Astyanax mexicanus: one gene and its partner. The protein of the gene in region 1 purifies or fractionates together with the protein of each later gene. This does not show direct contact. Links are inferred from orthologs where the notes say so. Each region holds a gene or a part of one and is shown in the gene's direction. Other genes may lie near its edges. The genes, in order: suclg2 and suclg1.

What was found.
Region 2: the proteins of suclg2 (region 1) and suclg1 fractionate together in Homo sapiens (co-fractionation; 6 studies listed by BioGRID and IntAct, counting the BioPlex papers as one, with this or other methods). This does not show direct contact. The link is inferred for Astyanax mexicanus from reciprocal best matches to the Homo sapiens genes SUCLG2 and SUCLG1.

What each region holds. Positions count from the first base shown.
Region 1 is NC_064431.1:27,376,022-27,393,225, reverse strand, and holds the start of suclg2 (succinyl-CoA ligase [GDP-forming] subunit beta, mitochondrial), read left to right. Parts: upstream 1-10,092; 5' UTR 10,093-10,124; coding exon 10,125-10,199; intron 10,200-17,204. UniProt on the Homo sapiens protein: GTP-specific succinyl-CoA synthetase functions in the citric acid cycle (TCA), coupling the hydrolysis of succinyl-CoA to the synthesis of GTP and thus represents the only step of substrate-level phosphorylation in the TCA.
Region 2 is NC_064432.1:1,831,318-1,848,232, reverse strand, and holds the start of suclg1 (succinate--CoA ligase [ADP/GDP-forming] subunit alpha, mitochondrial), read left to right. Parts: upstream 1-8,532; 5' UTR 8,533-8,612; coding exon 8,613-8,646; intron 8,647-11,726; coding exon 11,727-11,827; intron 11,828-16,398; coding exon 16,399-16,515; intron 16,516-16,915. Other genes in the region: cisd2 (CDGSH iron-sulfur domain-containing protein 2), read right to left, coding at 2,979-3,068, 4,223-4,437, 6,734-6,836. UniProt on the Homo sapiens protein: Succinyl-CoA synthetase functions in the citric acid cycle (TCA), coupling the hydrolysis of succinyl-CoA to the synthesis of either ATP or GTP and thus represents the only step of substrate-level phosphorylation in the TCA.

The sequences.
Region 1 (17,204 bases):
AGGAGTGTTAATATAAGGAAATAATTTTCCTTAGAGGGTTATACAGCTCTGAAAAAAATAAGAGACCACTTAAAAAGTGTGAGTTTCTTTGATTTTAGCTAATTGGAAACCACTGGAATATAATCAAACCAAACTGAACTGCTTGAATTCTTGCACCAGGAGTGAGTGGCATAAAGTTATCCAAAAGCAGTGTGTAAGACTGGTGGAGGAGAACATGATGCCAAGACGCATGAAAACTGTGATTAAAAAACAGGGTTATTCCACCAAATATTGATTTCTAAATGATTAAATCTTTTTGAATTTGCATTTTTGTTGTTATTTCAGTCATTTCTCATTTTCTGCAAATAAATGGTCTAAATTACAATATTATTATTTGGAATTTGGGAGAAATGTTGTCCGTAGTTAATAGAATAAAACCACAATATTAATTTTACTCAAACATAAACCTTTAAATAGCAAAATCAGAGAAACTGATTTAGAATCTCTTAATTACTAAATCTGTATGTTATCTTCCACAAGTTATTTATTAAACGACATACACTATTAAAAAGGTAGACATCTAAGGTAATTGAGAAATAGAATAAAAATACAAAAAAAAAATAAAAAGGAAAAGATCTCAATTACAAAAGGAAAAAGTTTGTTCTTTAGGTAAGTCCGAATACACTTGTAAACATCAAGAATTTGTTATGTCGGTGTAAAGACCTCCACATGTTGAAATGGAGGGCAGATCTTGGGAAAGAGCAATACATTTTAAGGTTTGTTGGTTTTGCTGTTGAGTTCAAACATCAACTGTTGTTCTCTAGAATCATATACAGCACCTTTAAACTTTAAATGTTCATCGTCTTGCGTCCAAATGTTCTGCTTCCCCCATAAAGTTGTCAGTTTCCAGAGCAGTTAGAACAGAAATGAAGTTTATTACATCACTTAAGGACCACACAAAGACCAAAACTGTCCATCAGTTCATCCTCAGTCGCACATTTTCCGCATTCTCTGGGCGTTCAGTGATTATTTTCTCAGTCTGCTGTTCAGCCAGGCTTCCCTCCATTTAAACAAGGTGAATGACACTTTTGTTTGAGAAGAAGAAAAAAAAAACAGGAAAGAGTAAAAGTGCCTTTCAGACATTAGAGCTTCAGCAACTGCTTCTGAAAATCACTCTTCACTTCTCAAGGAGACTCGTCTGCCTTCAGAAATACATTTAGTCTGACTGATTATCACTCTCTCTCTTTCTCTCTCTCTTTCTCTCTCTCTCTATCCCTCGTTCTCTTTTTCTCTCTCTCTCTCTCTCTCTCTCTCTCAGAAAGAGATTTTGTCTATCTTGCTATTTGTATTTAGGTCCTTCCACTCTTGTTCCCAAGTTTCTTTAATTTTAGAGTCATATGTTTTAAACATCCTGTCTCCAAAGCCTTATATTTTCAGGGTCCTAAGTTCCTATGGTCCCATATTTCCAATTTGCCAAGATCAATTTTTTAACTGTAATATTTTACATTTTATATATTTTTTATATTTTAAGGGTTCTATATTCCCAGTGACTTCCATCCCAAAAGACCTATATACCCAGGGTCTTTTTTATCTGATGTTTCCAGGGACTTTGAATGTTTTAAAGGGTCCAACATTCCCACTTTCCTATATTCCAATGGTTCTCAATGTTCCCAAGGTTCTGTTCCAGGGTCTGATGTTCCCATGGTTCTACAATAATAAAAGTTCCTAATGTTCTATATGACTAGGGTGCTTTGATTCAATGGTCTTGCACTCCCAAGGTCCTACATTCTCACTGCTCTATATATTTTTGGGTCCTAGGTCATCAAGACACTTCCTGGGTTCTTTGAATATTTTATGTTTTCAGTGCCCTGTGTTTCCAAATGTGTTCCCAAGGTTCTATAAGCCAATGGTTCAATGTACCCATGGTCCTAGGTCCCAAAGATTGTATGTTTCCAAGATCCTATGTACTCAGTTTCCTTTATCAGGGTCTAATACCCTTCCACTTTCCAAGGTTCTATTTTCTAGGGTCCTATGTTCCCGCTCCCATACATGTAGTTCTAAGTTCTAATGTTCTTTGTTTCCTGAGTCCATTGTTCCCAGTATGACCAGGTTCTTATGTTCCAAGGGTCTTGATTCCAAACATCTCACATTTCCAGAGTCTTTTGTTCCCAAAGTCTTATGTTTCCAGTCTTATTCTTGAAGGGTCCTATATTCTTATTTCCTATATTTCCTATATTCCCTAGTATTCTAGGGTCCTACATTCCCATAATCCCATGTTCCAAGGATCCCATATTCCAGATTCCCAGGTTATCGAGGTTGAACTTCCAAGGCTGAACACATTGGGCTAATTATCTACCGCCATGTTAATCAGCCTATTTATTGATTTGCTAAGTTATGGTCAATAGCAACAATAGAATATTTTATATTTCTCCACTACGTATCCTTCTCCCATTTCTTTTTACCTCAGATTATTCCGACCTGAATTGTGCCCAGCAGTGGGTGCAGGATGAAACGCACACCAACCTCTTTGGAGGGGTCATTGAAAAAAAAAACAGACAAAGAGAGAGAGAGAGAGAGAGAGAAAGAGAGAGATTGAGAAACACAGAGAGAGAGATAGAGAGAAAGAGATTCATTGGCGAGGGCTAGTATAAGTAGAATTCTGAAAGGGTGACCCACTCCTCGCTGCAGACGAAGATGGCTCTGCATGCTATCAGTGGTTTGAAATGAAGACCGGCTCCATGGATCTTTCATATACACATCTAAGCTTTGTCTTTCTCTCTCTCTCTACGACAGACGGCGTAGTAAAGGGGGGGTGGAACAGCAGGTGATCTGTTTTATATCAGTTAGGGAGCTGCCGCTGTTGCACTTGTGTTGTGGAGTTTACTCTAGATCACTCCGAGGGTCCTACAGAAGACCGTGGGCTGTGTATAGAACTTCAGAAGACCTTCTTCTATAGTGTTTGGCTTCTTATGGATCAGCTGGAGCATGCTCAGTGGATTTGAGACTCCAGTAATGGTCTACAGTACAATGAAAGATGGTTGCTGTGTGATTAGGATGTGAAGAAATTAGTTTGAATGATTGTTAAGGGTTGTTTTAGCTTCAAATTTGGTGTAATTTGTGGTCCAGCGGTCTAAAGTGATCGCTGGTTTGAATCCCAGTCATGCAGCTTGCCATCAGCTGCCGGAGAGCAGTCCTACGAGAGCACAATTGGCCTTGCTCTCTCTCTCTGTAGATGAATGGCGCTCTTTCCCCTCATTAGTTTGAGGGTGATGTCGATCAGTATGAGGCATCTATAGGCTAATGTATAGGAACCAAGTCGCAGCAAGGACCTGGTGGATGTTGGACACATTGCTCTCCTCCACCTTACTTATGAGGATGCACCACAGGGGCTCAATTTGGCAGTAGATTAGGGTCCATACTTGGCATTTATTATCTTGGTGGTGTGCTTGGAGTCTTTATTATGTTGGAAAACCACCATGTAGCCCAGTTTCTGAAGGGTGGAGATCATGCTCTACTTCAGAATCACACACTCTTAGCTTTGACGCATCTGGAATGGATGATCACACCATAGAAATGTGTATTATTGTTAGACAAATCATTAGTATTTTAGATCTTTTTTGGAAGAAAAGATGCCATGTGCTCTAGACCAAAGAAAAAAAAATGGACCATCAAGACTGTTATCATTCACCAAGTCCAAAAGCCATGTACAGTATATATAGGAAATGTGGTGTCAATGCGTCAATGCGGAAAAGTACATTAAGGTCTCTCATTAGCGATTTCCTTTAATTAAAAAAGGATAAAAAAATAGAAGAAAGGAAGAAGAGAGTGTCTTCTCAGAACCAATAAACTAGAGGGTGACGAAAGAACGCTTGTTTCTACAGGATACATCGCCTGCAGGACTTTGCTTTCCGGATGCCTTGGGCTAGATAATGAATATTCTGAAAAGGTGAAGCAAAAAAGATAAATAAATAATGTGAATCACTGGCTGAAACAAGGACCAAAAGCTCCAGGACTATTATGGCTTTAGTTCTGACTTCCAACATAACCCACTTTTACTCTAATGATACTGATGGTATAGTTTTAAATATAAATTCAGGTTGTATTTCATGATCTAATCTATAGGTTTTTAAAGATATTTGGCCAGACAGACCAGCATTGATATATAGGTACATTCATTTAGTTAAAGAAACATTATGTATTAATTGATTGTGGGCATGTCAAATATAAATAGCATACATTTTACATTACGTTTTCATGGCATTTACCTCAGATTTTTATCCAAAGTGACTTATTTCTATTTCTTTTACAGATATGGACCGATGTAGTGTTACAGTAGGAGTCTTGCCCATGGATTCTTATTGGTGTAGTGCAGCATCCAGTAACCCAGACCAGGAATTGAACCCCAGTCTTCCACATGATGTGATAGCTCACTGGGAGGTAGTCGTGTTATCCACTACACAACCAATACACCAACCACCACTCATGCATAAGCATATCCAAATACATAGCTGTTACGCAAAATCTATTGCACAGATAGTAACACATTAACAAACCACTGAACACCTCTGCAACCAGGAAATACACCATAGCAACCCCTTAGCAACCACTTAGCAACTTGTCTTCTAATCACTTTGCAGGCTGATCCTTTGTGTAAAACTGCTTACAATGTTTTGTAAATCTAAACTGCAAAGTCGTCGTTTTTCCTGAAGTGAATATATCAGGCCTGCCGCACCTCCAGAGGTATTCATGTAGCCCCACACAGTTCTACAGTAGCATGGAATGTGCCATGAAAATGAAAAATCAGTGCAGAGCAATAGCCTGGAGAAAAGCCTGCGCAGATGGAGCGCGCCACGCCTCCCTCATTCTTCTGAAAGCAGCGAATTGCAGCGGCGGAATACGCAGAAATTAAATAGGCCCATTTACGACAAGCTTCAGGAGAGTGTTCGCGGGTTATGTGGGTTACAGAAGACAGGAATAGAGTCCTCTTAGTCAATCAATAAAAGAGAGAGAGATAAAGAGAGCAGAAGAGAGTGGGGTTAGGTGGAAAAGACAGTAAGAAGTGTCCTGTCTTTCTTTCTCTCTCTTTCTTTCTTTTTCTCTCTCATTTTCTCTCCTTTTCTCTCTATTTATGTGACTACACCCCCCTCCAAAAGTATTGGAACAGTGAGGACAATCTGAGTTGTGCCGAGTGGTCCTGGTTGGATCGCTGTTTTGAATCACGGTCATGCAGCTTGCCATCAGCTGCCAGAGCCCTGAGAGAGCACAATTGGCTTTGGTCTATCTGGGTGGGTAGATGACGCTCTTTCCCCTCGTTACTTCTACGGCAAAAAGATCTTTCTCTCTCTGTTGGTCACTGTTACATCATATTGACCAATGAATAACAAGTCTTTGCAAACTTGCTGAGGGGTCAAGGATAGGAGTGAGGGTCCCATGAGACCCCCAGAGAGATTATTTTTTATGCAGGTTTGATGTAAAGTGTTTTATTAAACTATAGACTGAGTAGATTAAAAACGATTATTCAAGTTTGTGGAAACAAATGGAATAAAAAATGATAAATGTGAAAGGAAATAAAAAAAAAACATTTAAAAAAGCTGAACTTCACAATAAAGACTCTAATTCCCAGCATGCTCACTCACCGGACCTCTCTGACTCTGCTGATCACGTGACACTATGGCGTTCCCACTCGCCGAGCTTCTGATTGCTTACACCTGGACTGCCTTGTATGAATACCCCCCCCCCCCCCCCGTTTCCTTTGTTTCTTTGGTAGATCTTGCTAGATCTCGTTTTTTTCATGTCACCGACTCCTTTTTGTATTTTTTAACTACTCTTTTGCCTTGCCCTCTGCCTTTATGTAAAGTACTGTATCTGCGAGTGCCTACCTCACTCCTGGCCTCATTATCATACTGCAACGCCCCAGCTGAAAGATAAAACTAGTCAATAGGCTTGGGAATCGAGAATCGATTCCTGTTGAGAATCGATTCCATGTGTTTTGATTCCACGGAATCGTTTGGCACCTTGCTTAATGATTCTCTTATCGATTCCAGACAGCACGATCACGCAAGTTACGCATGATTCAGTAAGCACGTCTTTTCAATGGCGTCCACTAGGTTAAAACGCTCGAAAGTTTGCCTTCATTTCACGCTACATAAGGATGGCAACAGGGCGTTTTGCAACCATTGTAAATTTTTGATAACATCGCCGGGAGGGAATACATCAAATATGCACAAACATCTGCGCACACAACATTATTAGAGAGTATTTGCTACATTTCCATATTGCCAGTTGAACATTGTTGTGGACATGTTGACCTTGTTGTTGAGTTTGTAAGGTCGTATGATATTTAAGTAAACAAAGTTGGTGCTTATGAAACTGTTTACTCTCCTTTTTTCCCCAAATTGGAATCGATAAGAGAATCGATAAGGAATCGAATCGTTTCACAGAATCGATAAGGGAATCGGAATCGGAAAAATCTTATCAATTCCCATCCCTACTAGTCAACAGAACAGAACAGAATAGAACCATGAATCCATGAGTCCATGAATGACAACTCACAAGATGAATGCATTCCATATGAATCAAATATTCAGTTTAATGAAATATGGATCTCCGGCCTATTAAAAGTGCCGGGTGCGAGAGCGTGAAGGCAGGAGAGTTTAGGCCCAGACCAAAAAAAAAAAAAACAGAATATACATGAAGGAATGAAAGAAAACTGGGCATATCTGCACATTTGCTGTTGTAAAAATTTTAAATGCAAAGTGGGAGCAAGACAGCTAGAGATAGATAGAGAGAGAGAGAGAGAGAAACAGAGAAATAAAGAGAGAGAGAAGGAGAGGGAGAGAGATATTCACACTGCCTGTAATTCTGCTGATATTATTCATTTCTCTCCGTCTCTCTCTTTGTTCATTTGTTTGTTATAATCATTGTGTTTTATGACCTCAGTAGCGGCTTCTCAGTTTGTGATATATTGCCTGGAGTTTCCATTATTGTGTCCTCCCCGCTGTAAGCATATGCATGAAGCATAAAGCATAAGCCAGCGCGTCTGTGTGAGTTTTATATAACACAGCATTGATGACGCCCATGAATAACACTGACCTCCTGTCTCAGTGTTGACCCTCGGTGTGGTGGTGGGAGTGTGTTGAGCTTTGAGCTCCACTGAGCAAGTAAATAACCTATTTACTATTTACCTATTTGTCTGTCTGTCCGTCTGTCCGTCCAAACATGTCTGTCTGTGTAACCATGTCCATTAATCCAACCATCTTTAAAGCTATGTGTCCAACAGTCTTACCAACCATCTGTCTGTCATATTCTCAGTCCCTCCATCTATATTTTAATTTCTCTGTCTGTTTGTCTGTTCAATTGTCCAACCATGTCTGTCTGTCCAAACACGTCTGTTAGTCCAACAAACTTTCAAGCTATGTGACCAACAGTCTATTCAACCATTTGTTTGTCCAATTCCCAGTCCATCTGGCTATATCCTCATCTATCTCTCTGTGTGTCTGTCCAATTGTCTGCATATGTATTTAACTATCCAACCCTCTCTCTGTCCAAGCATCGGTCCAACCATGTTTGTCTTTCCAACCATGTCTGTTTGTACAACCATCTTTCGAAGTATGTGACCAACATTTTATCCAACCATCTGTCTGTCCAATTCCCTGTCCCTCTGTCTATATCTTCATCTATCTGTCTGTTTGTCTGTTTAATTGTCTGGCTGTCCAATCATCTGTCCAATGTCTGTATAGTCATCTGTCCAACCAGGTCTGTCTGTCCAAACATGTCTGTTAATCCAAAAACTTTGTGACCAACAGTCTTTTCAACAATTCTGTCCAATTCATGGTCCCTCCATATATATAGTTATCTATAGTTATTGATCTGTTTGTCTGTCCAGTTGTCTTTATGTCTATTTATCTGTCCAATCTTCTGTCTGTCCAAACATCTGTCTGTCTGTCTGTCTGCCCAAACATGTCTGTCTGTTCAACCATGTCCATTAGTCCTACCATCTTTTGAGCTATGTGACCATCAGTCGGTCTTTATATTCACTTATCAATCCACATGTCTGTCTGTCCAGCTATCTGGAAATAGAGAGAGAGAGAGAGAGAGAGAGAGAGAGAGAGAGAAAAACAGAAAGAGAGTGCGCAAGAGACAGAGAGATACTGAGAGAGACAGAAAGAGAGCGCGCGTGCGAGAGAGGGGGAGGAGTAAATAGGTTATTTACTTGCTCAGTGGAGCTCAAAGCTCAACACACTCCCACCACCACACCGAGGGTCAACACTGAGACAGGAGGTCAGTGTTATTCATGGGCGTCATCAATGCTGTGTTATATAAAACTCACACAGACGCGCTGCCTTATGCTTTATGCTTCATGCATATGCTTACAGCAGGGAGGACACAATAATGGAAACTCCAGGCAATATATCACGAACGTGCTGCTTTTGTCTGTATGGAAATCATGTTTTGATCATGTTCTTCTCGAGGGAAATAGGAACATTCTTCATGAGGAAATGCTCCGTATCATGTCTGACAGGCAGGCAGCGCTGGCTGACAGCATCCTGTAACTCTATCAAGAGAAATGAATGATATAAAGAAGAGCTAACAACGTTTCTGCACACTGTATTCGTTTCCTCCGCTGCTCTGGGGTCATATTCAGGGCCTGTTGGCACAGATTGGGTGCTTGTTACTATCTCTATCCAGTAGAAGTGCTTCTCGAGAGCCTGTCCTTTCCTGAATAGCAGGCAGAGGAAGGTAATAATCACTGGATGTTTGGGCCGGCCGGTTCAGGGAGGTATAAATTGGGGTCCCCAGTCGTTCCTAAGCCAGCGTCCGTGTTTTCTTCCTTTAATGAATGTCCTATTTGCTCCTCCACCTGATACATATGCAGCACGGTCACCTCCTCACCCTCATTCCTGACTCACCAGAGGCCTCATTTTCTGCGTGTGCAGAGAATCATCACATCTCAATAGTGGAGGAACTGAATTTTAGATCAGGTTTATTTTTGAGCCACATGGCACCAATCTGTCTCATAAACTCATAAAACCTGACAGAAAGGACATATCTGAGACTTCCAGAAGAGACCAGATGATAATTTATGGTAGAATCTGGAACACGCCACAGTAAAGTGCTTCTTTATACTGACTGGCATTATTTAACAATTAATTCAGATTTAGGGTTACAAAAGTCTCAAAAGTAAACAACATTACAAAATGACAATATCTTTATGCAACCCCTTACAGAAATCTGATATGTGATATATACATGTTTGCATGTATCTTAAAGGATTGGGCATATATTTTAATGTATAATATATTTTGCAAAATCATACAGGTGTTTTTTTATCATATATCGTTAAATATGTTTTACACATATGCATGTTTGAATATATTTTGATATGTTACTGGAACATTGAAAAATATGTTTTCATATAGATAGTCACATACACTTCAAAAAATGAAACAAACATGGGTCAGCTATAAAGGAATTGCATTTGCTGTGAGATAAGTCATATTTGAAATGCATATTGCAACGTAAGCATATTTGCATTAAAAATAAAATAGCTGAAAATAGCTATTTTTATGGGATAAATAGCTGAAAAATTCTAAAATTAAACAAATGAATAAATAAATAAATAAATAAATAGTACTGATCTTATTAGTTTAATAGGATAAATAAATGAAATAATCCTAAAACGAAAGAGTATAAACATATATATATAAATAAATAAATAAATAAATAATAGATAAACAGGACTGACCTTATTACTTCAATGGGATTAATAGCTGAAATAATTCTGTAAAAATAAATTAATTAATTAAATATGAATAAATTAAATATATAGATACATAATATTTGTATATAAATAATATATGAATACTGCTGAACTTTTTATTTTAATAGTACAAGTAGCTTAAATAATCCTGAAAGGACTAAAAATAAATAAATGAATAAATAAATAAAATATGTAGATAAATATATAGATACATAGTAATTTAATGGGCTAAATAGCTGAAACAATTATAAAAATAATATATAAAAAAATAAAAAATAAGTTCTCCGAGTGCAGAGAGTGAAGTTTCTGCGGTGACGTCACGAGCCCCGTCCGCGAGCGTGGCTCTCCGCGCGCACGTGGACACCGCGCTCACTTCCGGCTGAACATGGCGGCGTGCATGATGTGGAGAGCGGTGCAGAGCGGAGCTGAGCGCGCGGGCCGGTTACTGCGCACGAGACAGGTACCAAAACACACACACGACCACACACCGGCTCGCGCACACAGCGCAGACCCTCAGTACACATCACCCCGCGAGCCCCCTCCCCGCAGCGCGCTGTGTATCCGGGGCTGAGAGAGCGGTCAGTCTGCTGTTTACTGTTTATCTCCCCTCTGCTCTGCAGCTCCACTGTGGAGAAGGACAGGGGGCATGTGGGGGTTTGGGGGGTTCTAAGGTAACCCTGAGATTTAGGGGTGTTTGGTGAGGAAGCTGGGGGTCTGGGGGTCACTCTGCTGTTTGACTTTGACCTTTAGACCCTCAGAGTTTCCAGCTATGTGATTGGAAAACTTGTGCAAAGCCCTAAAACCACCTTCTCAACTCTTCTTTGTGGATAATAATATTGTTTTTGTTCTGCTGTTTACTTAATTTCCTCGTTGCATCCTGAAGGTCCACTGTGGAGAACTAGAAAGGTGTTTTGGGGTCCATTTAGTAGTGAAACAAAGGTTTGGGGGGTCTTTCTGCTGTTTGACTTTGACCTTTAGACCCTCAGAGTTGCCAGGTGTGACTGGGAAACTTGTGCAAAGCTCTAAAACGCCTTCTCTTAGTCTTTTTATGGATAATAATATGGTTTATTCTGTGTTTATTTTAGTTAGCTCCTCACTGCAGCTTAGAAGGTCCACTGTGGAAGTGCTTGTGAGGGTTCTGAGGGGTTTCTCTGTAGTTTTAGAGCCTAATTTAGACGTTTGTAACTTAAATGAGGAAGACAAAGGTTTTAGGGTCTTTCTGTTGTTTGTCTTTGACTTTTAGACAGCTATGTGATTAGGAAACTTGTGCAAAGCTCTAAAACCACCTTCTCTTAGTCTTTTACATCTTATCAACTCTTCTTTATGGATAATAATAAGGTTTTTTCTGCTGTTTACTTAATTTCCTTGTTGCATCTTAAAGGTCCACTGTGGAGGACTAGAAATGTGCTTTGTGGTACATTTAGAAGTGAGCTAAAGGTTTGTGGGTCTTTCTGCTGTTTGACTTTGACCTTTAGACCCTTAGAGTTGCCAGGTGTGACTGGAAAACTTGTGCAAAGCTCTAAAACCACCTTCTCTTTTACATCTTCGCAACTCTTCTTTTATGCATATGTTTTATTCTATGTTTGTTTTAGTTAGCTCCTCACTGCAGCTTAGAAGGTCCACTGTGGAAGTGCTTGTAAGGGTTCTGAGGGGTTTCTCTGCTGTTTTATAATGTAATTTACACTTTCATTCTAAGTTAAGTGAGGGAGACAAAAGTTTGAGTGTCTTTCTGTTGCTGGACTTTGACCTTTAGACCCTCAGAGTTTCCAGCTGTGTGACTGGAAAACTCCTAACTGCTAACTCCTACACTTTCTCTAACCTGCACTGTGGAAGTGCTTGTAAGGGTTCTGATGTGGTTCTCTGCAGTTTTAGGACCTAATTTACACTTTTTTTCTAAGTTAAGTGAGGGAGACAAAGGTTTGAGAGTCCTTCTGCTGTTTAACTTTGACCATTAGAGTTTTCAGCTGGGTGATTGGGAAACTTGTGCAAAGATCTAAAACCACATTCTTTAAGTCTTCGACATCTTCTCAACTCCTCTTTATGGGAAATAATATTGTTTTTTCTGTTGTTTAGAAGCGAGGGAGAAAAGGTTGCTAGCTGTGTGACTTGGAAACTTGTGCAAAGCTTCTTTGTTTAGATTATTGAGTTTGCATCCTTCTCATACTCTTAAACAAAAGTTCAGCTCTTCTTCATGGATAATAATTTGGTTTATATTTTGCTGTTTGCTTTAGTTAGCTCCTCACTGCAGCTTAGGGGTCTTTCACTGTAGAAGTGATTGTAAGGTTTCTGAAGGGGTTCTCTGCAATTTTAGGATCTAATTTACACTTTTATTCTAACTTAAGTAAGGAAGACAACGGTTTGAGGGTCTTTCTGTTGTTTGACTTTGACCTTTAGACCCTTAGAGTTGCCAGGTCTTCTTCTTAATGGATTATAATATGGTTTATTTAGCTGTTTCTTTCAGTATTCTCCTCAATGCCCGTGCTTGGCATTGGGTCTAGTGAGCCCCCCCCCCCCCCCCCCCCATGTAGATAGACTTTAACCCCTCTTTTTTTCTTTGTCAGCAGCAGCAGTTAGCCAATAGCAGTTCTGTTTTTATCTCTTGTATTCAAAGTGCACTCGGTCAACCTGTTGCCTGTGGCACAAAGAACACCAGAAGTCCACAAGTAACACAACCCTCCCCACCCCCTCCCAGATCACCCCCAAGCACACTTCCCTTGTAATAACCTAATTTGAGCAATAGTCTTGAATTTCAGGTGTTGCACCACAATGGACTTAAAATTTGTGAAATATGCACACTTTTCTAGTATTCTATCAATTGGTGCAATACGTTACACCTGTTTAACATTAAAAGTAGTGCTTGGTGATATGATGTCAAAGCAAGTAATTCGTCCAGTGCAAGCCTCATTGGAATCAAATATATGGCAGAACCAGTTTCTTTGTGTTCACACTGCTACGAAAAGCCCAATTTTGTTAAGGTCACATCATGGTAACTTTTGAGATATATATATCTGATCCGTTGCAACACATGAAAATAGCTAAAATCTGATTTGAAATCCTTATTTTGGGTTCACACTGCTCTGGAAACACCAGATCTGTGCCACATATAGCATTCTGATCCAACCATTCTCATTAATCGAATATGAAAAGCTATTAGATTTTCAGATCCAATTTCGATTAAAAAAACCTTCCAAGACACCATATGATACATCAGCTGATACATCAGCTCACAGATGCAGCCTTGTGCTGATCAACATTACCCTAGTAGTGATGAGGGGAAAGAGCGCCATCTACTCTACCCACCCAGAGAGAACAAGGCCAGTTGTGCTCTCTTAGGGCTCCGGCAGCCGATGGCAAGCTGCATGACTGGGATTCGAACCAGCGATCTCTCAATCATAGTGGCAGCGCCCAAAAAATCTCTCTTTACTTTTACATTTGTTTAATATGTTCCCATAATCAGCCGTTCAGTACCTCCCTCCAACAAGTGTTTTATCTAGGCTAAAGGAAGCTTGCTGAAGCCAAGTGCTAACTCCTACACTTTCTCTAACCTCTATAAGCTGGAATGTAGGTTGTTGAATTTGAATCGGCCTTCATTTCTACTATTTCTGTTCTTAGCATGATCCCTAAATAGTCCAGAGCTGTTGACACACAAAACAACAGCTTATTTAGTGCAGGACTCTGAGACTCCTGCTGCACTGGAGTGAGAAGTTTTTTATTTATTTATTTATTTAGTTTAGGTTCACTTCTTCTATACACAGTGCTAAACAAACTTTAATTTCAGACAAAGAGAAAACCTGAGTAAATATAAAAAGCCCTTTTTTAAATTATAGTTTCATTTATTATGGGAAAGAAAATCTATTTAAACCAACCTAGCCATAGAGGAAAAAGTATTTGCCTCCTTATTCTTGTAAAATAACTTGGTTGTGCCTCCTTTGGCAGCAACAATTGCAATCAAGCATTGTCGATAACTGGTAACTGGAGTCTTTTACATCTCTGTGGAGGAATTTTGGTCTACTTTTCTTTGGAGAATTGTTTTTATTCAGTCATATTGGAGCCAATTTTTTTCCCATTTTCTTCCTAATTTACAAGGCATGACCCAACCCAACCCACTCATTAAGACTCCCTCTATCATTAGTGATGCCCCAACACACCAGGAGAATAAAGACTAGCACATGCCTCCTCTGATACATGTGAAGTCAGCCACTGCCTCTTTTTGAACTGCTGCTGCTGATGCAGTGGGGAATAGTTCAAATACATCAGCTCACAGACGCAGCCCTGTGCTGATCAACATCACCCTTGGAGTGATGAGGGGACAGAGCGCTATCTACTGTACCCACCCAGAGAAAGCAACAGCAGTTGTGCTCTCTCAGGTCTCTGGTTGCCGATGGCAAGCTGCATGAACAGGATTCAAATTGGCGATCTCACCGGACCACTCGGAGTCCCACATTGGAGGTTTTTCAAGCATGAACTGTCTGTTTAAGATCATGTACAGCATCGTGATTTGATTTTGACTAGGCCATTCTGAGGTGGACTTGCTCGTGTGCTTTGGGTCATTGTCCTGCTTCAGAACCCAAGTACGCCTGAGTTTAAGGTCACAAACAGATGGCCAGACATTCTCCTTTCACACTACCACCCCCATGTTTAAAAGTCTGGATTTTAAACGATATTGACAAAATGCAGTCTATCATTTGAGTTGGGTCCAAACTTATTGAACATTTGCCGCATTGCAATCCTAAAAAAAAACATACAGAATGTTCAATACTCTGTGCAGCTTCACACAGGTGAGCAAATCTTTACATTATCAGTGAAATCCAGCCTTCATGTTGATGGATCAGAGAGCGCTCTAAAGCTCACAGCGTCTTTAATCACACCTCATCATTCTGAGAACAGAGCTGATTAAACTGTTAATAGAAACCGCTAAGTCTGTTAAACAGCCACCTAACTGTATACTGATACAGTATAATCTTAGCTCACACTCACCTCACAGCCCTTATCACCTGATTTACAGTGAACAGTATAGCGCACACAGCCAACACGGAGTTAGCAGCTCAGAAAACTATGCTTGATTTTACAGGAGGTAGTTAAGCATAATATTTGCTCTATATAAATTTACCTAAGGTTGCTTGGGGATGGGGAATGACTATACACTGATGGTAAATGTCAGAAACTTGGGCACACACCCAGTTAGGGCTGCACGATTTGGGCAACATATCTAATTGCGATTTTTCCACAGAATATTGTGATTTCGGTTTAAAGTCCATTAATCCTAATTAGTGGTTAACATATCTCTAAAATATAATTATAAACTTCTTTCCACAAGGGTTCACAGATTAATTGCAGTTGTCAGTTTTATTGTTAAATTTCAAGAAACAAAATAAATAAATAAATAAATAATACAGCTCTGGAAAAAATTAAGAGACCACTTCATTCCAAATAAAAATATTGTCATTTAAAGCATTTATTTGCAGAAAATAACAAAAAAGATGCAGAGCTTTCAAACCTCAAATAATGCAAAGAAAAAAAAGTTTCGTATTCATAAAGTTTTAAGAGTTCAGAAATCAATATTTGGTGGAATAACCCTGGTTTTAATCACAGTTTTTTATGCATCTTGGCATCATGTTCTCCTCCCTCCACCAGTCTTACACACTGCTTTTGGATAACTTTATGCTACTCACTCCTGGTGCAAAACAAAAAATCAAGCAGTTCAGCTTGGTTTGATGGCTTTTGATCATCCATCTTCATCTCTTTGATAAAATTAAATCTTTTGATGGAAAAGCGCTAAAGGAGTTTCTTTTGTTTGAGGCATGGAACTCTTCCTAAACCTGAATGAGGAGCAGGTTTTGAAGAAGGTTCTGCTAGATTTTCTTTAGTTTTTTCAGGTGAACAACTTAAAAAATAGAAGTTCCCATCCGTTTGGCACCTAATCTCTCGCTCAAACTCTTAGATTCTATAATTCTTTTCACGTTTCCATTCTTGTGCTCTTGTAGAGAAATTCCACAAAGCTGCTCTGAAGCCCGTTCAGCAGGTTGGTGTGATGACTATACCATTTTAACACTCCACTCCTGTTCGGCCTACACACACACACACACACACACACACACACACACACACACACAAACAAAAAAAAGTGCATTTTGGAGGCAGCGCGAGTGCTTAGCTGGCATATATTTTCATCTGCTCGGTATAATGAGATGAGTGTGCTGGAGCAGGGGACTGGCCTGGCGTCAGTGTGAGAAAGGCTCTCTGATAATGAGAAACTACACCGTGCCAGCATACATTACAGCTCCCGTCTTTATCCAAATGGGTTTGTTTAAGAGTTGCGTAAGATCGGGGCAGCGTGAGAGCGTCTTTAGGGTAATGCAGGTTATTTTAAGCCGCCCACGAAAGACTTGAGCTGCGGACTTCATTGCAAGTGGCAGCAATTATTCAAAACTTAAATTATCGGAAGCGTAGGAGCGGTTATCTAGGATTAAGACTATAAGACTGATGCTAAAAGGTTATGAATTTGGACATCCGGCAACAATGAAACTCAGTCTAACCTTATTTTCCGTGCCCTGAAGAGAGCTTTCTACGTATGTTTGTCAACTTGCTTGGTAGCAATCTAGTGTAGTGATTTTGGTCCTAGTGAATTCGAGAGTCTGGAGTTCTCTTTCATTGGACTTAGGTCTTGTATCTATCTGTCTATCTGCTCCCAGAACCATGTGTGCGGTCGCCTGACTGGTTCATTTTGTGACGTGACCATGTCAGCGTATCATGTCACCCCCCCTTTTTCACTTTATATCTTGATAAAGACATGGTGTGATGGGGTACTGTAGTAAACTTTGTGAAGCTTCGTGGAGTGATTGTGGGTACTGACAGCATGGTGATAAATCCACGATTTTATCCAAGTAAGTTTGCACAAAATAATCCATGGTTTCGATGCAGATTAAGAACCCCTGCCATAGATGAATCACTTTTGATTTTGTAAGGAACCATTTTCAGAATAGAGAAAGCAACATCACTCTGTATGTAATGTGTCCTGGTCTTTGGATGCAAGGTAGCCCCAAACTATGATACTATGAACAATGCTACCACCCTCATGCTTAATAGTGATGGGGATAGGTGAGTGATGTTGGCATGCAGTTGGCAGAATTGCAGAATACGTGCCAAAATGACATACAAAACCATTATTACATTACATTTTACTGCATTTGATTCCTTTCTTAAAAAAAAGAAAAACAAATACACAAGAATTTACATTAAAACCAAACGCTGCGTGAATTTTTTTTTTTTTTTTTTTAGAGTGGAGTAGATTTTAACATGGGCTTGGTTCTTAAGCTTGGGACTTTTTAGAAGCTTGGAGTTTGCTTGCTTGCTTGGAGTTTGCTTGCTTGCTTGGAGTTTGCTTGCTTGCTTGGAGTTTGCTTGCTTGCTTGGAGTTTGCTTGCTTGCTTGGAGTTTGCTTGCTTGCTTGGAGTTTGCTTGCTTG
Region 2 (16,915 bases), on another chromosome or scaffold:
TGAATAGAGCTGAATAACGTTTTAAAAATCGAATTCTGTGGGGATATAAAAATTTACAATATAAGCAGAGGTTACACTAAAGCTGCTGCATTTAAATAATGGAGGTAGAATTACAGTATATTAGAAAATAAAAAAAACGTGATTGAAAGTTGTTCTGTTTTGCCGGTTTTGAAACCTATGGGGATGGGTGGGGTTACACAGCTTTCTGCAACCGAACAGCAGGGGGCGCCCGACCTGTGGTGGATTCACTTTTGAGAGACGATGCTCTGTCCAGCTATATACAGTCTATGGTTCAAATAGTGTTTATGAAGTTTGTAAATTTGTTTCACTGCAGGAGGTATGCGCTTTTAACTTTTTAATAAATTATATGGCTCCTAAATTAGACACATTAATAATAACAAAAGTTGAAGTTTAGAATCTTTTATTTTATAAAATAGAAACAAAAATAAACAAAACAAAACAAAAAAAAAATAGGCACAATAGATGTACAGTTACACACAACATTTCCAATTATATGAGAACTGCAGAGGAAAGAGGAAATACTACATATATAAAAAATACATCGTCTCAGTCATACAAAAACCTACAAAAAATCTCCCAAATGGCAACTTTGAGTAAAAAGAAAAATACTTCACTTTAAATTTTATTCCATTATTGTATTATTTTAATATTTATTTGGAGCATTTCTATTGGTCTATTCATAAGAAGAAATGTGCCTAAATATAAAATATAAAGACTAAGAACCAGATTCACATTATGTCAAAAAAAAAATATGGTTATTATTGTGTGTTGTGCTGGTACAAGTGCATCAGATGCAGCAGAGCTGCTGGAGGTTTTAAACACTTCAGTGTTTCTGATGGACTGACAATCAACCAATCAAAAATCAGATCCATCCCATGGCAGCGTCATGTGACCAATGATGAAGGACAAGAGGGCGACCAACAGGGAGACTGAAATCAATGTAAAAATTAGAATAGAATAGAATTTATTATTTTTCAAGTTATTCCATTTTGGGGCATTTCTATTGGTCCACGTATTGGGACATTTTGAGGACACCCGTACATATATATATATATATATATAAAAAATAAAAATAAAAATAAAAATAAACATGTACACCTACATATAGGAGGTACAGGTCAGGTGTTTCTGGAGAAGTGAGTGTAAAGTAGATTGTAGTTTGTACTAAAGTGGTAGAAAAGTGTAGTAAAATGATGAACTGATCAGATCTAAAAACATTCGCTTGGACCGTGTTGGCTTATTAATGAATTATTAACGGTTTACTGTGTTTGGATTCCAAAACCAGCGCAGAGATAACAGCATCATACAGCACTGGGACACCTGATTAGAGTCATCTGTACAGATTTTATCCATAATCCATAATCAAACAAAAAACTTTAATGAAGATAGTACTGTATATAAGAATGAGGATAGAGACCCAGCATCAGACACTCCATAAATAATTGAACTCATATCTCATGACCAAGAAAAACAAAAAACAAACAAAACAAAAAACAAACAAAGGACAAAGGAGACATTATCTCGATGACGTAAAACCGGAAAATGTAAGAGTGTGGCTTTAAATGGCTTCTGTGGAATTGATTGTGTTAGCCATGACCTAGCTGACTGAATACACTGAAACTGTAGCTTCAATAAAGGAATAATTCAGCATTTTAACTCAGAAAAACATTTCTACATACTGCGTCTGTATCATACTGTTCACCAACATGGACAACATGGAGTTATTTTAATGCATTTTTGTGAGCTTGGAATAGATCTGAATTTAGCGTTCCTGCCTAGTGAATGTGAGACTGCTTGGGGGCGTGTCGAAAGGTGTGGGCGTGTCGAAAGGTGTGGGCGTGTCGAAAGGTGGTCGTCTATTGGTCTAGACGACCACCTTTCGTCCTGAATCATTACTTCATCTCTCCTGTTTTTAACAAATCAAACCGTGTGAAAATCGGGTAAAAATTGGTGAATTTGTGATTATTATAAGTATATTTTATCCTTTTCGGCAGAAAAGTTTTGACACGCCCACTCGATTGCGTACACCACCATTCGACACGCCCACACCATCAGAAAACTTTCATTTTAAGGCAAAGTCACGTCTAGCCAAAAGTAATAGCACTGCACACATACAGTAGATATGGATTGTTTTTTTTTTTAATTTAAAATGCTGAATGAGTATTCCTTTAAAAAAAAACAGATACAGCCAATAAAACAGCATAGAAATGTGTGTAGTTTGTGTATAATGTTTGTGGTCCAGTTTAGGGATGCTCTGAAATAATAAATGTTTATCAAACATTTATCTAAAAGCCCAATATCGATTATTTTTTTTGTTTTGTGACTTTTGTTTTTTTAATCTGCACTTATAAAAAAAAAAAAAAAAAAAAAAAAAGCACCTCAGTCCACACTGGATGCAATTTGATTGAGTAATTACTCTCTCAAATTTAAATCTCTCAGTATGAATTACTCGTTTGTTTCAGCTGAAAACCGAAAGTGCATTTTTTCTTTTTTTGCCGTTTTGCCACATAATTTCGGTTGCCAAATATTCGATGCATCCCTAGTCCAGTTATATTGCACTTAATTTAAGGCAGACTGAATAAACCACTTTAAAGTACAAAAAAACAACAGGGTGGTCTGTGAGATCAGTCCCACTCTTCACAGCATACGGACAGATGAGACACACTAATGCACTAATGTGGCAATGTCTTTAAAAAGCAAAAATCAATCATTGTAGGATCCAGACAATTAGATTAGTAGATTCACACGGCAGGTAAATCTGATGATGGCCCAAATCCAATCTGATCTGAATTTGGATTTTACCTGCAGTGTGAACGCAGCCTTTAGAGGATGACTGAAGAAGCGTGAAGATCTGTACTGTATTTTAATGATGAGAAACAGATACTGGTGGCTTATCTTGAAGGGAAGTGAGAGTGCCTGCTCTGCTGTCCGCACCTCGTGGCCGTAAAAAAAGCAGATTATAGAATCTTCTTCTTCAGTATGAGCGGCCCCACGTTGTCCCCGGTCAACTCGTTGTGCTTTATATGTGATTTATCACAAACAGGAAACTGCAACAGGAAATGAATGCAGCGATGCATTAATGACAAGTTTCATTTTTTTTTGGCCAAACTACAACCCCCCCCCCCCCCCCCCACACAGTAACACAACCTCACACACAACCTCACACCACAGGCTTTGACACAGCCGTTTTTTTATGCTATACTGAAAAGAGGAAGCCAAAACCCCTTGTTGCCATGTGCAGATATGCAAAACACATCAAGAGTGTCAATAGATGACTTCCAGTCACATCCAACTTCCTCTCCTAGACGGATGCAAATTCTGACTTTTTCAAGGAGTAAACTGTTATTAAAGCGTGGTTAAGCAGTCATTTTTAGGTCGTGACATTGGCTAATCCTGTGTCATTGTTTCGCTTTTGCTCTGAGGTGGTTCGGCTCTGGTTCAACTTGTAAAACTTGTAGAAACATGTCTGAATGTGGTTTATTGTGGGTGGTTAGTGTGCAACAAAAAGAAAACTTAATGCACATTTAAAATGACTGACTGTAGGAAAGGATGGACTTTTTTTCAAAAGTGCAAATGATTTTTCTGAATTAATATTTACAGTTCATATCATTAAACCTAGGATAATCAATCTGTCTGTATGTTAGGGGTGTGTGAAATTGCCCTGAAATAATTTTACAATATTTCAAGGTAATTGAGTAGAAACAAAACCATCTGTAAAACATGTTTGTATAAATAACAGTGATTTATTAAGATTCGATAAATAATTAATAAAAAACAAGAATAGTGTGGTCAACATAATGCAATTATATCTTGTATTATATCTACCATCTAAACTGCAAAAACAAACAATTCTACAAAAATATCCATAAGCAAATGCAAAACTGACTGCTTTCAATATAGAATACTGCGATAATCATGATTAATGATGTATTTAAGGTAAAAATCCTAGAAACCTCTTGGTAAAAGTTATGCAACTTCTACTGGGATTCAAGTTTCCTTTGGATCTGTCTGGCTTTCAAGCTTCTTGAAAACACATTCAAAAATCCTAAAAAGGCTTTTGTGCAAGTTCTGTACCTTCCCTTTTTTTTTTTGTTTAAATTGCCTTTAAACCAAATTCTGTCCATGACTGGTTGCTAAGGAAGCACAGACACAAATCCTTTAGTTCACTCTCCATACCGTTTTCCCTGTCTCCACTTCTTACCGTTTTGGAGCGCCAACACCTGCAGTAGCAGACGTTGGGGCTTCGTAAGTCTTCTATGTCGATCTCGTTAACCACTTTGGGGTTCTCTTTTTGGATCTTCAGATTGATGAGGCAGTCTCTCTGCTTCTTCTTCTTCGGGAGGAAGGGCCGGATGGTCAGATAGCCCAGCAGGGCCAGAATTCCCAGCAAAGGCAGGAGACGCAGCCACTCTGAAACTGAACACAAACAACAAGGAGAATATCTAGTTAATATCTAGTGTCTTTAACCACTTTTTGGAAGCAACGTTTCTCATAAATTAATTAAATTCATTTTTAAACTCTACTCTCGCAATAAAATAAAGCATTAAAACAAAATAAAGCATTCACGATTACTTAAAATGCTGGATATCACCAATGGGTCAGCTGTTTTCCATCTGATAGCTGTACAGGACTAGGATAGTAATGTGAGAGCTTTCAGACCTCAAATAATGCAAAGAAAAAAACAAGTTCATATTCATAAAGTTTTAAGAGTTCAGATATCAATATTTGGTGGAATAACCCTAACACTGTAATCACAGTTTTTTTTTTCATGCATCTTGGCATCATGTTCTCCTCCTCCACCAGTCTTACACACTGCTTTTGGATAACTTTATGCTGCTTTACTCCTGGTGCAAAAATTAAAGCAGTTCAGTTTGGTTTGATGGCTTGTGACCATCCATCTTCCTCTTGTAATTTTTAAGTGTTCTCTTATTTTTTTTCCAGAGTTGTAGTTTTAGCTTTAATATTGCAGTGTACACATGTGCGACAGTCACACCGCAGACCATGCAATTAATAAATGGCGTATAAGCATTGCACTTCGCCAAAAGAACAGACTGAGTACAGGTTGATTCTCACAGTAATAATCAGAGTTAATCTGAGCAAGAGAAAAGTAGGCTATATGCTTAATTAAACAATCCTAAGCTGATTACATTACATTACACGCTCACTTCAAAGAGTTATGATCACAGAGTGCGATCCCAGACAAATCCTATAAGCTCAATGGAGTGGGAATCATTTTTAATTGTTAAATTAAGTCTGTACTAAAGATTTCATTCAGTGGTGATGGTGATGGTTTTGACTGGGTCATGGGTTGAAACTGAGGTAAAATATGCCTGAAGTGACTTTTAAAAAAAGCAGCGGCGGGCGGGTCTGCTGCAGAATAAATATGGCTTCACATTCCCGGCTACAATTACGCCTATACACTCTCCTCAGCCTCCCTGACTAAACACAGGCAACTGCATGATCACCTGAGGGAGGGGTGCAGCCTGCATTCTGCAGTATTACCTCTCCCCGCACTCTATTACATACTGCATATATAGGTGTAGGCGTGCCGACCTCAGCACTGCGACAGTCGCGCGACAGGACCTGCCTGACGGGGGTGTGGTAGCAGTTTAACACAGTCATTTTAGAGACGTAAACACAGACAGTCAGACTGTTTTGATGAAGAAAGCACCATCCTGTAGACTAGGGGTTTGTCCTATCATATTGTATGCAAAAAAAAAAAATATATTGTGGTACATTTCCTGTCCCACTACTTCAACTTCAAATGTACATATCCAAAATATTGAAATGACTATTTTTTGAGAAAAAATGTACTTGTTATAAGACAAACTGTAAAATTTGGTGGAAAAATAAGCTCAGGTAGCATCTGTTCCAGGGTTAAACCACAACTTAGCCTAGATTTGCAACCCTGTTACTCGCAACCCTGTTACTGTTACCAAAGTTACCAAATATATTGCATAATCTAATTTAAAAAAACTGTTTTGTACCTGAGCTTGACGAATCAAACTTGTTGATAATCTATTACCTGTATTTAAAACAATATATGACTAAAAATGATCAAATTGAAGATCAAATTTTCAGAAGTGACCACCCCTGAAATGTACCAAAATTTATAACGTTACTGTGAAATTGTGATATTTTTAATTATGTTCTGGCCTGACCAACACCTAACAGTAACCACTGGCTCATTTCAGTTAAAATAATGAAAAAAAAAAAAAAAAACACCTCCTCCAACCTGAAGATGTGTGTAAAACTAAGCTAACAGACACTGCATCAGTGAATATCTGGTATTAATCAGCTATGAATCAGTGGATGTGTGGTTTGTAGCACGTGTGCTGGCTCTTAACTCTTAGAAAAGTAAACTTAAAGGTTGATTTTTACTGTTATTTGAAGATAAAATCACTGAACTTTGGATATGTTTAGATCTGGTGCACTTTTCATGCTGCATAACTTTACTACTAAGCTAGATGATAAATATTTCACTGTGTGCAACATATCTTCCCAAAAATGAGTCTAAAATGAGTGTAAAATTAAACGTTACACTCCTGAATAGTAGAAAAAGGAGTAAAACACTTGTTAAACTCTTTTTTTACACTTTTTAAAGCCTCAATTTTAACCCTGCAGCTCTAAAACTTTATTTACTGTATATAATAGAATGCCCCCCCCCCCTCCTCATCTCTCTGTCTCTCTCCAGGCCAGGCGGTAACGTTACCTGTGAGTCTGGTGAATCCGCCGATTGTCTCGGGCAGCGGCAGCTTCTTCAGGTAGGCAGGCAGCTGCACTTTAATGATTTTGGAAATAGTCTCCAGCACCATCTTGAACTCTTTCTGGGCGCTTTTTCATTCGCACCCAGCGAGCTGTTTCCCTGAGCCTGGAGGACCTGACGTCGAGCTGCGGAGTTTTTCTGCGTAGCGTCAGTAAGCGGCCTGCGGAGCCGCTGCCGTACAGAGTGATGGTGAATAAGCGCAAGCGGAGGAGGCGGAGCAACAACACTGCCAGCCAATCAGCGTCCGCAGAGCTGGTGTTTTCCTATTGGCTAAGGTTAGCGGTACTCCCCGCCCACACCTGCACAGTTTTTCAATACTAAGGTCTTTTTTTTAAATGATACATTTATATAATTAAATTAAATTAATACAAGAATAATGATACACTTGTTTTGTATATTTATTCTCCTTATTTTATTTAATTTGTGTTTTTAATACTTTTTAGTGCGTGTAATTTTCCAAACTCATATTGATATTGTTTTTGGTGTGATAAAAATAATGAACAAATTAAAATAAATTAGTGAATAAATCATTTTTGGCATAAATAAATGATATGGGGTTAATGGTAAAAAACGAAAAAAAAAAATATGTATATATATATATATACATTCTTTTTTTTTCAAATTAAAATACATAAATAAATAAATAATTTTTGGCGTAAATAAATGGGGTTAACGGTAAAAAAAAAAAAAAGAATTTATTTATGCCAAAAATATTTATTTATTAATTTAGTTCTAATTTGTTTATTATTATCCAAAATAAAGATATGTACAATATAAGTTTTATATTTTAGATTCTTTAAAGAAAGCTTTAAAGTAGGCACTTCTTGGCTGGATTCTCTCAGTCTGCTTTATAAGGTAGTCACCTAGAATGGCTTTCAGTTAACAGCTGTGACTAGTCAGTCAAGCGTTGATTACTTTAATTTCTTGCCTCTACACCTAATTTTACCTACTAAAGTGACTTAATTCCGTAGTGCAGCTCTAGCTCTAGTCAGTAGCTCTAGCTCTGTACAATAAAAATATTGTACAAAGAAAAAAATAACTTTTTCAGAATGTCAAAAACATAAATTAATATTAAGTGTTGTGTTTTCCTCAATATTTAGTCAAGTTAAGTCAAGTCAAGTAGTTTTATTGTCAATACTGCATATGTACAGGACAAATGGAGGATTAAAATGTGTTGCTTTCCCTGCCAAAGTTACAACAAGTACAACATTATAAATATATATTATAAATAAGAGACAATAAATGTACAATACCAAAATGTCACAGATATATATATATATATAACTTACATACGTGAGACAAGAGACACAAGGCAATATAAGAGTATATAGGTATGATGCAGGGAATAAAGAGGGAATGACAGTACCAGTATAAACAAATAAAAAATCAAGGAAAATTGAGATATATTAATTATTATTATTATTATTATTATTATTATTATTATTATTATTATTATTATTATTATTATTATTATTATTATTATTATTATTAATATTATTATTATTATTATTTCAGACTGCGGTTTACTGCAGTGGGGGCTTTGAATTTGCATCAGTATCATGTAAAACTACATTACCCAGCATTCCCGGCGCTGCAGGACCAGAGCAGACCGCCTGTATGGGAATATTTCATTTATTTTTCATTATTTACAGTTTATATATTTTTATAAAGCCCAGTATAAGTGTTTACAGTGCTGTGTGTGATTTTCTGCGGGGTTTTTTGGTGTGAATCTCGGGGTTTCTAGGTGTATTCGGCTCGGGTCAGGCGGATATGAGGCTCCGCGGCGTGTGACGTCTCTCCCCGTGTCATTGGTGAATGACCGAAGATGGCGAGCGGTAGACTGTTCGGCCGGCTGCTCTGTGAGTATTTTTACAGTAACACGGCGCTGTGCGGGGTTTATAGCGGGGGTATGTGCGGGGTAGAGCGGGCTGCGGGGCTGGGGGAGCTGTCGAGCGGGCGGTGAGCGGCTGTACAGCTGCAGAGGTTGAAGTAGGCCGGGCCGCTCTCTGAGAGATATAACCCTAAACTAACCTGCTGCACTTCAGCTTAGAACTGCAACTGTTACTCCGCTTTACACAAGCAATGTTCACACTCTCTGTTTAATCCGCCTTAATACTAGTAATCCAGTTTGTTCTTCAAAATCATTAACCCTAAACTAACCTACTGAACTTAACCCTAGAAATAACCCTAAACAAACCTGCTGCACTTCAGCTCAGAACTGCAACTGTTACTCCGCTTTACACCAGCAGTGTTCACACTCTCTGTTTAATCCGCCTTAATACTAATAATCCAGTTTGTTCTTCAAAATCATTAACCCTAAACAAACCTGCTGAACTTAACCCTAGAAATAACCCTAAACAAACCTGCTGCACTTCAACTCAGAACTGCAACTGTTACTCCGCTTTACACCAGCAATGTTCACACTCACTGTTTAATCCGCATTAATATTTATAATCTGGGTTATACTTTTAAATCAATCCGGGTTTTATTTGTCCATATTATAATTTAGGTGTATACAATTTAGCACTCCCATACCTGCCTTCTACTGGAGCTTCTGCTGTTTAATAATAATAATAAAGTAAATTACGTAGAAAAGAAAGAAAGAGAGAAAAAGAAAAGCACAGAAAAGTCTAACTTCCATAACAACCCATCATTTCTGTGCTGGTACAATGCAGGTTTTCTTTTCGTAATTATTTTTTTTTATACTAAAGTTTAGTTTGCCAACTACTTCAGGTTTGTTTGTTTTTTTTCTTTTCTTAATAGTTCCATATGTGTGATCTTCACAGCTTGGATGAATTTAGAATTAATCCACATTGCAGAACATTTAAAATAATGAAAAAAAAAACCACTGATCTTAAGGTATAGCTTTGATATGGGTCACATAAATATATATTTTTGGACATTATATTATTCTAGGTATAAGTATGATGCATTATATTAATGGAATTGTATGACAATATTATGACACTGCTTTAAAGATGATACAGGAGCATGATAATGCTTTTTCACTCTTTTTTTTTTTTTTAAAGAGCTGAGGAAACTGGGATTAAAATTATATGTTAAACATGGTCCAGTGTTGCTGCAGGGCAATTGACTACTTTTATCATACTGTGATAAACGTTATTGTGATACTTTTCTGAGCATTTCATTACAGAGAGTGTAAATACTCGTCTTTAACTGCATAAAGTGCTGCAGGTTTTGAATAAAAAACACTGTAATAAGTACAGAATAGTATTTAATAGTCTGCAGCTACTAATGTGTTTTTTTCTGTAGGTCAAAAATCTGATGTTTCCTAAATGTCAAGATATAAAATGACATAAACTGTCTTTTCACATTAGCATCTAGTTTAAATGAACTACATTGCTACATTGCCGCAAGGCTCTGCTTGAGTACATTTCTTCTCTATTTATAAATCTTAGTTTAGACAGCCGGGGTCAAAGTTTAGGGTCAGTCAAGCTATAAGAGCTGCTGGAGCTGGGTCTGGCTCAAAGGTTCATCCCTTGGAATCAAATCCACATGGTTTTTAGGGCTCTATTCCTATATTTTTTGGTCTGGTGAGCAGTAAGCAGTGCAGAAGGACAGCGTTATTAACATAGCTAGTCCTGAATTGTGCAATTTTGGCTCCTCTGCTGGAATGTCCACTAACCTGAAATATCTATATTGGCTAACTTCCCATTGCTTATAAAGGGGAACTGCTGGTCCTGCTGTTGTTTGCATGAATGTAGGTTACTGGACCCTTATTTGACCAGGTTAACCATAACTAGACCTTTAGTCTAGTTGTTATTATCCACATAAAATAAACCAAAATCGTATTATTAGTGTGTGGAGAAGGTGACCTAATCTTATTATGGGCTCGCTTGTTTAATATTAATTTTAAGTTAAAATTAATTTTTCATAATTTTTTTATTGAAGGGTTTTTAAGATTTTTTTTTTCATTTAATTTTCTATTAAAAATTAATTTTTATTTTGATGCATCTAAATGTAAAATCTGTCTATTAAAATTAGTTTTAATTTTTCGTTTTCTCTCCTCTTGTCCCCACTTCCTGTATTTTTCATTTTAAGTTAAAAGACCCCTGTATAGTTTTGTAATTGCAATTTCATAATATTGCACAAAATTAAGAAGAAGTGGCAGATATATTTTGTATTCTATTCTATTAAAATATATATATATATATGTATATGCAGCAGAAACAAACTTAAAAAAATTGATTGTGAGAAAAAATACATTTGGAGTAAAAAAAAAAAAAAAAAAAAAATTAAATTATTTCATATTCTTCCTGTGTGTTCCCTGAGTTTATTTATGTAGTTTTATTATTGCTTTATCTCTGTCTTTTCTTTATCTATCAATGGATTCATGTTATAAAACATGAAAAAAAAATTAATAACATAAAAAAATAGGATATCTATATATTGATTTTATTTGTTAAATAAAATAAATATATAATATTTAAGTAAAAGGAACAGTGTAGGATATCCCTATCCTTCATTATTTCCTGAGGTTTTATCATTATTAATGTATGAAGTGAGGTGCCACACCATGAACACATGTTGGTGCTGTTACTCCATGTATAGCTCACTTATCGCTGCGTATTCTCTCGTCAGGCCTTGTTTTAAAACCCACTCATCAGCTCCACCACCAGTTCTCCTTTTTTCTCCTGCTTGTTTTTCCTCATGAATAATTTTTCACACCTCAGCGTGATAAGAACTTTCCATTGTTGATGTATTAAACTGCATTATTAAGACCCTGGCTGTACTGAGAGCCGCCGCTGCTGCTGCTGCTGACCCCTGCTTTAATAACTCTCACTCAGCTGATTGAAGCGTTATCACTGAGATACAGGTCGGCCTTTATCCTGCTGTGGGTCTCTCAGGTAAGATAGGAGTGTTTTTATTTTTATCTCTGGTTCTAATTCCTCTCCTCCTGTGTTCTGTTTGATTCCAGTGCAGCAGGCTGGGGTCCGACACTGTTATACCGGAAACAGGAAGCATCTCTACATCACCAAGGACACTAAGGTCATCTGCCAGGGCTTCACAGGAAAGCAGGTTGGTGGTTCATCATCCACAGTTGCTTAAAAAAAATAACTAGTTAGATTACCTTTTTTAATGCATTTTTAATATCGTATGGGCGAGCAATCACGTGCAAAATAATGCAGTTCTTGCAGTCTTACTGAGAATGTGTAGATTCCCGTAGGGGTGGGCGATACGACCCTAAAATAATATCATGATATTTCATGGTATTTTTGCGATAACGATATACTTGGCGATATGACAAAAAAAAAAATGAATAAAAAAATTATTTTAAGAATACACTACTGCACCAAAATGAACATTAAATTTTCTTACAATATGATATGGCACCCTTAACTGAGATTTCATAAAATACAAGAATTTTATCAGTAACGTTAATTTGTAGCAGTCATGATACTAACAATGCGCTCTACATATCTCTATATATCCAGGATCAAAGTAAAATAAATGATACTGGACAGATATCATCTGTCTCTGTTGTTTTTTTTTTGTTTGTTTTTTTGCTAAAGACAGCAAAAAAAGTAGTATCCTGATGTGATAATAATTAGGGGTGGGTGATATGGCACCATATTTCAGAGTATAATATCGTACACGATATTGAAAATGTTATCGCGTACGATACGATATGGCACACCCCTAGATTCCAGATTTCACAAGCACAGGTTTTACCTAGGAAAACTTGAGCTGAAAGCATTTAGCCAGCATTTAGCGGTGTCATGCTAAGTTTACATCAAGCTAATTGGCGTCTGACTTTGGCGAGTACAAAGGACGCACAGGAGCAAGAAGCTCCCAGATTTACTTTAGGATCAATATGCCAATTTATTTTTCCATATCAAGTATTTGATTCAGTTCCCTGGCCAATATGCAGGGTTCATACGGTCATGAAAAACCGAAAAAAAAAAAAAAAAAAACGAATGAAATTTAAAAATGGCAATTTCCAGGCCTGGATAAGTTTTGGAAAAATAAAAATACCCAAAAGTTTTGGAAAAGTCATGGAAATTTGATCTACAAATCTGTGTTTCAGTTTATCGATGAAGAAAAAATATTTTGAGCTACAAATACATCAAATACAAATACATCAGCTCAGAGTTAATACAGTAATTTAGCCTTTACACAATGTAGCTCTCAGAATCTGACAGGTTTTATTATAAAAAAAAGTGTGTTAGATTAATTTTACTATCGATTATAGTTTTATTGGATTTTGGAGATGCGGAAAAGTCATTAAAAAAAAATTATGGAAATGTATTGGTTAAAAAGTGTATGAATCCTAAATACGGTTACGGGTGCTAGTAACTCCAGGAGCACAAATGTGTCTCATTTTTGCGAGTAAATTCTGATTAGATCTAGCACAGTAAGAAATGATTAAATATTGGGGCTACAACTAATGATTATTTTATTAGTCGACTAATCTGATGAATATTTTTTTTCGATTAGCTGATTAATCAACAATTATGTCTGCCATGTGCTCAACCTTTAAAACAATAAAATCAGCTGAACACAAGATATAAAAGACGTAAAAAAAAACAGATGTTTAAACATGGAAAGTACAGATATTAATTGAGTACAAATGTATTCGGTTGTCTGTTGTGGACACTTTTTTGGGGGAGAAAGACCATAAACCAAAACTATTAACATATTTGAGGCTAGACAAAAACAACTGTTATTTATATTTATATTTTAAGTTTTTCTTTAAGAAGATGAGAATGTCCACACTCTCTGGAGAAAGAGCTGCTCTTTGAGCTACAGTGTGCTGCACTATTTGCGTAGCTTAGAGGGAGGGATCGTCGATCCTCTTTTTGACTTCGATGCTCGAAACCATGACATAATTTCGATCGATTTCGATGAAATATCGAAATCGTGACACCCCTAGTGCATGTGCTATTTTTGGCCGCCGTGTCCAAACCTTCCCTACACCCCTCGACCTTTTAAAATAAATAAATGTCCTCCCTCCTTCTCTTCTGCCCTTCTCTCGCTCGTCTCGACGACTCCTTAACATAATAAAGGGCTATTAGATGAAGTTCTAATGAGCACTCATAATAATTAGAAGGAAGATGAGGAACGGCTGGGATGTCATTGAGGCACGTTGACTTTGCTCAGCGCCTTGATAAGCAAACCATACTTCAAACTCGCAGCACCGTCGTTAACGGGAAAACGGCCGACCTAAATGAGGGAGGCAGGGAAAGCGATGAGAGGAAAGTTGGCAGGAGGTTGTTGCGATGGTGGGAAAAATTGGAAGAGAATGACGGGAAAACGGCTGGATCATTTTTCCCCTCGCTTTATAAAGATGTTTAATTGAAGCTGTAGCTTTAAAAGCAATAGATATCCATTGCTGCAGATGAACGAGGTGCTGCGGGTTTATCTGTGATGTTGTAACATCATTAGTAATCATTAACTAAGATGCAGTGAAGGATCAGATAGCAGGGTAAAGGTTTCCAAGTTGTTAGATCTCAATATAACTCAGTCAGCATAATCCAATCAGAAGGGCAGAAGAGTCCAGTCCAGTCTGCACAGAAGATCTGAAAGAGTTTTTCTACTGAGCGTATTGGACAGTTTGTAGTTCCATAATAATTACAGACTGTAGTCCTGTATCTCAGTTTCTCTGTATACTTTTATTATCCTTATTTCACCCTGTTCTTCAATAGTCAGGACCCCACAGGGGAGACAAATACCACAGAGCAGCTATTTTATGTTTGTTGTTCTAGTACAATTTGATCAGATACAGCAGTGCTGCTGGAGTTTTTAAACACCTCATTGTCACTGCTGGCAGTAGACCACCAACCAGAAACTGAAGAACTGAAGGTTGACCAACACAGACTTGCAGCAAAAGATTCAGAGCTTCTGTCTCTGACTTTACTTTATCTACATGCAGGGGCATTTGATGTAATTATTGCAATAATATGACAAAACACTGAATTAGAAAAAAATAGTGTATTTCAAGAATACAATACAAACAATGCAACAAAAAAAATAAAATAATAGTTTTTATAATTGCATGCATTATGATATGTCACACCCCTATTAAATATATATATTAACCCCTTAACGCCTGAATTAATGTAGCTGTATATGAAAAAATGTTTCATGTGTGTTTTACCTTTAAGTAGATAGTAAATATTGTTGAGATTATTAATTTCACTTTTGCACAAAAATAAATAGAAATTTTGGTATGTTGCAAATTTGCAACAACAGGCAATATGGTCTATTTGGGGTAAATTTGGTATGTTGCAAATTTGCTACAGCAGACATAATGGTCCATACTAAGATAACAATAACAGAGTAATATAACAGTGAAAAATCAATGTTTTATTTATGCACCCAACAGCAGGCATTCAATAATAAATAACACCAATTACTGTCACCAACACAATATACACAAATATTACAGGAAACATTTCATTAATTTGAATTCTAGATTCATTTGAATTGTAAATTGTCAAAGGTTCCTAGGTCCGTGGCGAATATGCACTAACAGGCATTGGGGGAATGCAGGCGCTATCTTGGCAGGTTGATTGAATCAAACGGTTAGTCGCCAATTTGCAACAACAGGCGTTAAGGGGTTAAATATATGTCACACCCCTATATATTAAAAAAAATGCAAGAAATGTATAAGATTTGTAACAGTAATAGTCAATGATCCAGAATCTCGTCATGATACTAATAATAGTAATGCACTCCAAATATCTCCATATATCCAGGATTAAAATAAAATAATAATTATATATCTAGTAGATATATAATGGGAAATGAGAACAGTATGAATTTGTCTGTTGCTAAAAAAAACAGTAAAAATATTTTACAATATTCAGGGTATATTATTGTTCATGATATAAAAAAATGTTGGTGGTATATTATTGTGTACGATACGATATATCATACCCCTATCGATAGAGTGGACAGTGAGTAAAAAACAGTGTTTAAAAATAATAAAGTATGCAGAGCAACCATTTGCTGTTCAGATATTGATAATAACAGATCCATAAAAGTATAATAAAGCATTGTGATAGAACACTTTATATCAGAGTAAATTAAATGTCATGATGCATTGATTTGTTTAATAAAGGAATCAAATCAGAGAGAATTCCATCCCCAGTTGTTTACTCCGGAGTCTTAAGGACATTTTCGCCTGGCTTTATTTGTGTGTATCTGATAGCTGGTGAACGGGGAAGTGGTGGGGGGGGGGGTCTTTCTGTGTGTAAGACGATCCCAGAAGGTCACCCACTGAACTTTACATGTGTGAACTTCTGAAATGACCCACTCCTTCTGCTGACAGACACTTAAGTCTATCTGTGTCTCTGTCTCTCTCTCTGTCTCTCTCTCTGTCTCTGTCTCTGTCTCTCTGTCTCTAAGGAAAACAGATGTATAACCAAAAATAAATACATAATAAACATGAAATCTGCTGAACACTATTAAAACATTTAAACAGCTTTATGAACAACATCAAAAATATATATATAATATTTATATTATATAAAGGGTACAGGAAAAAAAATAATAACATAATAATAATAACAATAATATAATAAATTAAAGCTTTATTTATTTGATTATTTATTTCTCTCTCTCTTTCTCTCTCTCTCTGTTTTCAGGGCACCTTCCACAGTCAGCAGTCTCTGGACTATGGCTCTAGGTTAGTTGGAGGAGTTTCTCCTGGGAAAGGGGGAAAGACCCACCTGGGCCTGCCCGTCTTCAACTCAGTGAAGGAGGTAATGACCTGCTTTCTCCATTTGGGCCTGAGTGCACGTGTCTTACTAATTTGCTGTAATTTTTCATGGTAAGGCTACATTAAATCTCAAAGACAATATAAACAATATTTTATTGTGAATAAAGGTGTGTTCTGTTTGATTTTATGTCCAGTCATCACCTATGTTGTTCAGGGGTTTTTCATAGTAGTTTGAAAAGTATTCTCATATCAAGACCCCCCTGAAAAACATTCAGAACCAGATCTGTCTGGTCAAACCGAGTGGTATGATTCAAGTGGCCAAAAAATTTGGATCAGACAGGTTCAAAACCTAAATATAAAAGGCTTTATGTGAAGCTGCAGCTGTTTTGTGTAAAGGATATGAGCTGTACAGGACTAGAATAGTAATAATCGCTGAGTTCAAA